2 linked regions of the Oryctolagus cuniculus genome follow. The protein of the gene in region 2 purifies or fractionates together with the protein of the main gene of each other region. This does not show direct contact. Links are inferred from orthologs where the notes say so. Each region holds a gene or a part of one and is shown on either strand. Other genes may lie near its edges.

What was found.
Region 1: the proteins of SNX9 (region 2) and DNM3 purify together in Homo sapiens (co-immunoprecipitation; 3 studies listed by BioGRID and IntAct, counting the BioPlex papers as one, with this or other methods). This does not show direct contact. The link is inferred for Oryctolagus cuniculus from reciprocal best matches to the Homo sapiens genes SNX9 and DNM3.

What each region holds. Positions count from the first base shown.
Region 1 is NC_091438.1:26,455,680-26,459,502, forward strand, and holds part of DNM3 (dynamin-3), read right to left. Parts: intron 3,425-3,823; coding exon 3,326-3,424; intron 2,671-3,325; coding exon 2,510-2,670; intron 1-2,509. UniProt on the Homo sapiens protein: Microtubule-associated force-producing protein involved in producing microtubule bundles and able to bind and hydrolyze GTP. Most probably involved in vesicular trafficking processes, in particular endocytosis.
Region 2 is NC_091436.1:9,789,658-9,793,480, forward strand, and holds part of SNX9 (sorting nexin-9), read right to left. Parts: intron 3,052-3,823; coding exon 2,967-3,051; intron 163-2,966; coding exon 37-162; intron 1-36. UniProt on the Homo sapiens protein: Involved in endocytosis and intracellular vesicle trafficking, both during interphase and at the end of mitosis. Required for efficient progress through mitosis and cytokinesis. Required for normal formation of the cleavage furrow at the end of mitosis.

The sequences.
Region 1 (3,823 bases), on a different chromosome or scaffold from region 2:
ATAAAACTCAACAACAATAAAACAACCAATCCAGTTGAGAAAAGGGCAAAGGACTTCAACAGACTGTTCTGCAAAGAATAAATATGAACAGCCAACAAATAAGTGAAAAAATGTTCAACATCACTAACCATCAGGGAAATGCAAATCAAACCCACAATGAGATATCACCTCATCCCTGTCAGAATGGCTACAATCCAAAATATAGAGAATAACAAATGCTGGCGAGGATGTGGACAAAGTGGAACACTTATACACTGTTGGTGGGAATGTAAATTAATACAGCCACTGTGAAAAACAGTATGGAGATTTCTTAAAAACCTAGACTTGCCATATGATCCAGCAATCCCACTACTGAGAATATAGCAAAAAGACTTGAATATAATGTATCAAGAGATACCTGCATCACAATGTTTATAGCAGCCCTGTTCAAAATAGCCAAAATTTGAAATCAACCAATGTGCCCATCATAAGATGAATGGATAAAGAAAATGTGGTATATATATATATATATATATATATACACACACACACACTATGGAATATGATTCAGCTATTAAAAAAGACTAAAATTCTGTCTTTTGAAGCAAAATGGATGCAACTGGAGGACATCATGTTGAATAAAATAAGCCAAACACAGAAATACAAATGCCACATGTCCTCTCTTATATATGAGAGCTAAAATTCAAAAAAACAAACAAAAAGAAAGGCATGCTTATGTGTATTTACTGCATATTTTACTGTATATTTTACTGCAAATGTACTTTTATAAAACTTTGTTTTATACCTTTGTCAAACCAGTGGTTAAGAATTTTATAGCACTATAGTTTTAATGATTTGTGATTACTTTTAAAATTTATTATATGGGGGAAATGGTCATTTTTCCATTCAACTATTGTTTACAGCTATTTTCTATATTCTTACTAGACTAGGGGTATTTTATTGTTTTATTTTATTTGGTGAAGCATTAAGTCTTTTTATTGTAATGTGAATTTAAAATTTGCTATCAGGCCACCGGTGCACGGCTCAACAGGCTAATCCTCCGCCTGCGGCGCCGGCACCCCGGGTTTTAGTCCCGGTTGGGGAGCCGGATTCTGTCCCAGTTGCTCCTCTTCCATTCCAGCTCTCTGCTGTGGCCTGAGAGTGCAGTGGAGGATGGCCCAGGTCCTTGGGCCCTGCACCCGCATGGGAGACCAGGAAGGCAGCTGGCTCCTGACTTCGGATCAGCGCGGTGCGCCGGCTGCAGCATGCCAGCCGCAGCGGCCATTGGGGAGTAAACCAATGGAAAAGGAAGACCTTTCTCTTTGTCTCTCTCTCACTGTCCACACTGCCTGTCAAAAAAATAAATAAAATAAAATAAAATTTGCTATCAAAAAGTGAAAAAGAAGGAAAAAAGGGGAGGGGAGAGGGTGAGAGGGAGAGAGGAAAGGAGAAATGGAATATCATTATATTCTTAGAACTGTATCTATGAGCTATATAGAATCTGTCAAAAAATTAATTAGAAATTTTAGAATTATTTTTATACATAGAAACACACAAAATAGAAAATAAAAAATTAAATAGGAAATTTTAGAAACAAACAATTCATAAATTAAAAAAACTAAAATAAGTGGAATATTATTCAGCAATAAAAAGGGACATTATAAATACCACAAAAGGCATAAACAAAAAAAAGGATACAACTAGTTTTTATTTTCTAAAACTTCTTCAATTATTTTGCCTGAATGGTTCAGACACAATGTCACATATTGTGACAGCTTCTACTGATACCTTCAAGAAGCTAACAATCAGAACGAAACTGTTAGATTGGCTGATTAAGTTATAGATAAGAGTTTAAGCAAAACTTATGAGAATATTTGTGAGGAACATGGCTCACCATACAAAGTCAACATAATTAAAACTCAAATGACAATGACACAACTCCAATAAGGGTGGAAAATATGTAACCAAGGAAGAGAAGTACACAGTACATGGTGGGAAGAAGGGAGGCAGAAGACCCAAATTTATTTATTTTGGGGTAACAGGTTATCAGGAAAAGCTTCTGAGATGACTGGCAATAGAATTTACTGTTTGGAAAAGTTTAAAGTACAAAATAAATCATTCCTAAACAAAACCAGATAACATTTTCAACAGAAAATCTAGCCTAATCATTAGAGTGGTATTTTAAATGCAGATTCCTAGAGATCACTGTTACAGATCTACACAAGCTCAGCTTCTTAAGGTAACTACATTTTGTGAATGAATGCACACTCAAATGTACATCCCCTATTCCTTGTTCCCAAGTACATGTTTCTGCTTTCATAATTGTTCTTTCAATAATATTAAGGTGACTTTTATTCACTAAGAAAAGTAACAGTGTGGCTCTAAGTATCTATAAGCATTGTTTAATTTCTATCATTTAACCTAAATGTCTTGTGTTTGGGAAAAAAGTGAATTAAAAATTAGAAATATGAATTCCAATAGTTCTCTTGTGTGTAATAAAGGTTCTTGTTGCTTGAAAGAACATTTTTACCTGATTCAGGACCTTCTGCAGGTGTGGGGTCCCCATTCGATCAGCAATATGTCTGTAAGCCGGGTGGGAAAGAAAAAACTTCCTCTCTGCCAGCATGGCCGCCTTGATGTCCTTCTTCCCGTCTATGTCCTTCTGGCTTCTGTTTACCACCCCCACGTAACCTGAAATAAGGCACAAGCTATGGAGTTTGGCACTCTTTCTGTGCTTCCTCTAGGAATTGCCATGCTCTCAGACTGAACAAAAATAAGATCAGTTTAAGACTGAGTTCATTTACAACAATTTTTTTCATTTACAAAATTGAATAGGCTAATGGTAATTATTTTAGCATCACCTTAATAATGTTTTCCTCCTTAAAAATCTCTGCACATTTTACAGAATATGTCTCTCACTGGTTGTGACATAATACAAAAGTACCTAAAAAGTTTGTGTAAAAGTGGAACATTAAAAGTTAAGTTCATTTTGGTGCCCAAAATTCTGAAATATATACATAATATTTCATAATACTTGTTTTTCCACAAACATCTTGAAGTATTTGCAATCAGACTTATAACAGTACATTTAAGCAGCCCATGATGAATAGTTATAACCCTCCTTGAAACCCCTCCCTTTCCTGTTTCTTTTCTTTCTGTTAGTTTGAGGAATAGTTCTCCCTTTGGATCTTCACTTGAATACTGTGCCACTACATAAAAAGGATAACTAATGATAAACTTGTTCCTCTCAATTGAAAAGGCATTACACCACATCTTCTAAGTGGCTTCCCAATTGTTTCTCAGCCCCATCATCCACGGAAGTGCTGTATACATCACAGTACATTACCCCTGCGAAGAGGCAGCAGCTTGTTCTCTAGAACATCCCTGGCATCTGTTCCTTCATCCATAAGATCCAACTTGGTGATGACTCCAATGGTTCTCAGACCTGCATCATAACCAAAGCCAGCATTACACAATTCACAGAAGACCAACAGATTTTAAAGATATATATGTCTTAATGCAAAATGTAAAGCACACAATCTTAGCCTGCTTCCTGTTCCTCTCTGTCTTGCTGAGTTTTCTAATCTACTGCTACCCAGTCTAGTGAATTTCAACGTGATGAGGAAGAGAGTTTTGAAACCATCTTTAAGAAGATACCTTTCACCGGCGCCGCGGCTCACTAAGCTAATCCTCCGCCTTGCGGCGTGCCGGGTTCTAGTCCTGGTCGGGGCGCCAGATTCTGTCCCGGTTGCCCCTCTTCCAGGCCAGCTCTCTGCTGTGGCCAGGGAGTGCAGTGGAGGATGGCCCAAGTGCTTGGGCCCTGCACCCCATGGGAGACCAGGAG
Region 2 (3,823 bases):
AAGGCAGGCGTAACTTTTCTGGATGATGGTACTTACCGTGGGTGTTAACTGGTACTCGATGTAGCTCTTCAGACCATACATTTTGGAGCCTTTCCTGGGATCCGCTACCACACAGTCGAATGTAGAGGTAGGATAAACCCACATCGGGCCATAATCTCCAACCTACACAAAAGTCCAGCAGAAGTGAATTTCAGAACCCTTGGGGAGGTCATTCTCGCTGCTTTCTGAGAAGCTACCTAAGTGGACTCTACTCCTGTGAGATGTGTTTAAAGAACTCCCGTGTCAGGACAGAGCCTTCTGCCCCTCACCAGGGGTGCTCAGTCCATGCACAGAAGAGACCAGCTCCCCGCCTTGAGTGCTGGTTGATTGGAACACAATGTCTGTCTCTCTAGTCCAGGTGTCTCGAACTGTATGTGATAAAAGACTCCTTTTTAAAAGTCCAATTATAGACCAACGGTTTTGTGAAGTGTAACATTACACATGTGGGTTTCTCAATAATTTCAAGTTGCCATCAAGCCTTCTAGGACACTCCCACTGCACTGATCTCATGGCAGACTGGTAAACTTTGAGTAGCTGTGCCCTAAATACAGAAATGGCTTATCAGACTGGTGAGAGCCTGTGTCCACTGCTTTACTACGGAGGGCAGTGGTATATGTGCCTCACAGCAAGAATCAGGCCAGCTAGCTGTTTTCTCCTTGGCCTGCTTGTGCACAGCACAGTGGGCAGGCTCACACTCCATGTCCCAGGCATCACGCCCACTTGGTAGGCCTCTCTTGTTCTTCACTTGTCTTTCTTGTCTATATACAACTGGGGCCAAGGTTGAAAAGTGAGGCTTATTAGGCCAGCACTAGACCATTTAAGTAATTTTAGCAGGGTGTGGAGAGGATGAGGCATGAAAACCAACTAAAATCTATGTGGGGACACAGAGAACTAGCATGATCACAGTTATGGATTTCAGAGACTGTAGGACAGTATCATTAAAGAACAAATAAAAAGGGGCCGGCGCTGCAGCCCAGCAGGGTAAAGCCCTGACCTGAAGCACTGGCATCCCATATGAGTGCCAATTCTAGGCCTGGCTGTTCCTCTTCCAATCCAGCTCTCTGCTATGGTCTGGGAAAGCAGGAGAAGATGGCCCAAGTCCTTGGGCCCCTGTACCCGCCTGGGAGACCCAAAAAAGGGCCCTGGCTCCTGGCTTCAGATCAGCTCAGCTCTAGCTGTTGTAGCCAATTGGGGAGTGAATCAGTGGATAGAAGGCCTCTCTCTCTCTCTGCCTCTTCTCCCTCTGTGTAACTCTTTCAAATAAATAAATAAATAAATCTTTAAAAAAAGAACAAATAAAAAGCAACAGAATTCCTTATTCTATTGAAAATATGGTATTTTCCAGGAAACAGGTGAGAAAAGCAACAAAGTGACTGTAAACAGACCATTATTTCTAGCAAATATACCCATTCAGAGTTCTAAAAAGGGTCAAAAATAGTTCATGAAACAGATTTTGATCTTGTAGCTGGAAGAAGCACAGAATAAAGTACATAGAAAACCGCATGGACTGGGCTAAAGGAGACAACCAGGCAGGTGTGAAAGGGAGACGTCTCCCAGTCCTTATTCTTGGTAAAGGTGCGAGAGGCCAACAACAGGACAGGGACGGAAGTCAGCGAGCCCCGCAGCAGGTTTTATTAACCCTTCCCCAAAGTCCAGATCTCCGCACAATCAGCTCTGAAGGATGAAGTGCCACCCTGACCTACAGGAGGGTGAGCTGTCTTTGCACCTGTCACCCTGAGGCTATCAGGTCAGGAGGCGACTGAGCACCAGAGAAGCTGAATGAGGAGTTAAAGAGAAGATTCTAAAAGCAAACCATGAAGCCCACATCCAGGAAGCTGTCTTAAAGCTGCAGAGCAGGAATTAAAGAGACCTTGGGGGACCTCCCTCCGTGACTGGGGATCAAAAAGCAGCCTTGACTGGCCCATGGGCCAAATTCCACTAGAGAGAGGGTTACCACACCTTCCCAGCAAAGAACCAGGCCAACGCTTTCTCTTGGCTCCCTGGACTCTCTCTGCTAGAATTCTGTTTCGGAATATACAGCTAGAGATCATTGAGATAGAAAATCTATCAGCAATCAAAACATGCAGTGAACCAAAGTGCCTACGTCATAGTATGAAACAATGTCATGTTACATAACAGTCCAGGTATTCTAAGATTTTTTAAAAAATCTATTTGAGAGGCAGAAAAAGAGATTCTCTGTCTACCAGTTCACTCCCCAAATAACCGCAACAGCTATGGGTACACTGAGGTTGAAGCTGGGAGCTGGGAATGCAATCAAGGTCTCGCACATGGGTGGAACCATGACTTGCTGCCTCTCAAGCTCTGCATCAGCAGTTGGCTGGAGTCAGGAGCCAGAGCCAGGAATCAAACCCAGGTACTGTGATGGGGGATGTGAGCGACTTAGCCATTTCGCCAAATGCCCAGTCACCTAAGCTAAGTGCCATTAACTCCTACATTTGCTAGCTCCTTATTATCATTTGGCTGCTTGTTCACTAGAAGAAACACTAAGTATTTCCAACATATTGGAAAAGGCACCTAATTCTGATAACATGCATGTATTTTTGCAAGGGTAGAAATCCAAATATTTAAATTAAGTTTATTAGATAAATATATAGACTGATAGAAAAACAACATAAAAAATTTCAAGATACTTTCAAAAATAAAAATTACTAATAGAATATTATGAGTGTTGTCGGTTCAATACTTTTAATTCAAGAGATAAAGAATATCTAAACAAGATAATGATAGGCATTAATTTATGCTAATTATCTTTAGTATGCCTAAAATACTAACATATACTATCAGTTATTTGGGGACATTTAATGTGTTTAAAAATACTTTCCAAGAGAGTAATAACCCTCTTAGCTTTACGGTTTTAATAAAGAACTTTAATTACAAAGCAAGCAAACAAAAATGAACAAACTTACAATGATGGGAATTTTTTCTTTGGGCTTTGCTAGTTGCTTGGCCAACAAATATTGTTCCATTCCAGGTTTTGCAAATCCAGGAAATCTAATCATGAAGATAAATGCTTGTGAGTCCTTCCTCGTAAGACTCCTACAGCTCTCACCCACAGTTACTGAACAAGCCACTTTTAACCGTGTTTTTTCTTTCAGGTGTACCAGATCTAGGAAACCATGGTAAACAATACCTGATGTAATCAGACGGCTCAAGAGCCAGTCAGTAATTTAATTAGGCATGGTCAGTTGCAAAGGGCAGTTTGACTCCGGAAGGTGCGATATTTATGGGTTCTCAGTGAACTCACCCCACTCAGAGAGAAGGGAGCAGCACCCTTTCCTTGAGAGTCTCTGAATTCACAGGGGCAGTGAGTACTCATCAAACCAACTGGAGTGGCCACATGGGGCGATGGCCACGCATCAGCATTTGTACAAACTAAGGCCGCCTCTCGCCACACTCTGGAAGGCACAATTACCCCAGAGAAGCGGCCACTGTTCGCAAGCATCCCTGCCATTTTCTTTTGGAAGTGCCTTCAGAAACTACTCCGTAGTGAAAAGACCCAAAGCACAGTAAGTAAATCTGACTAGTTCGAGATGCCATCTGATAAGACCCCAAAACATAATAAATAATAAATGTCCATCTCACTCTTTCCTCACGCTTCCTTATTAAGCAGATTTGCAAGGACTACTGAATAAACATTTTAATTGAAGAGAATCTAAGTGGAAACAAAGAGCTGAGCTAAGAGCTGTGCTCTGGAGCCGAGGAGCTGGGATCCCGACAGGAGCACGGCCTGCTGCGTGAGCGCAGGGCTCTCCAGCCGCGCTGG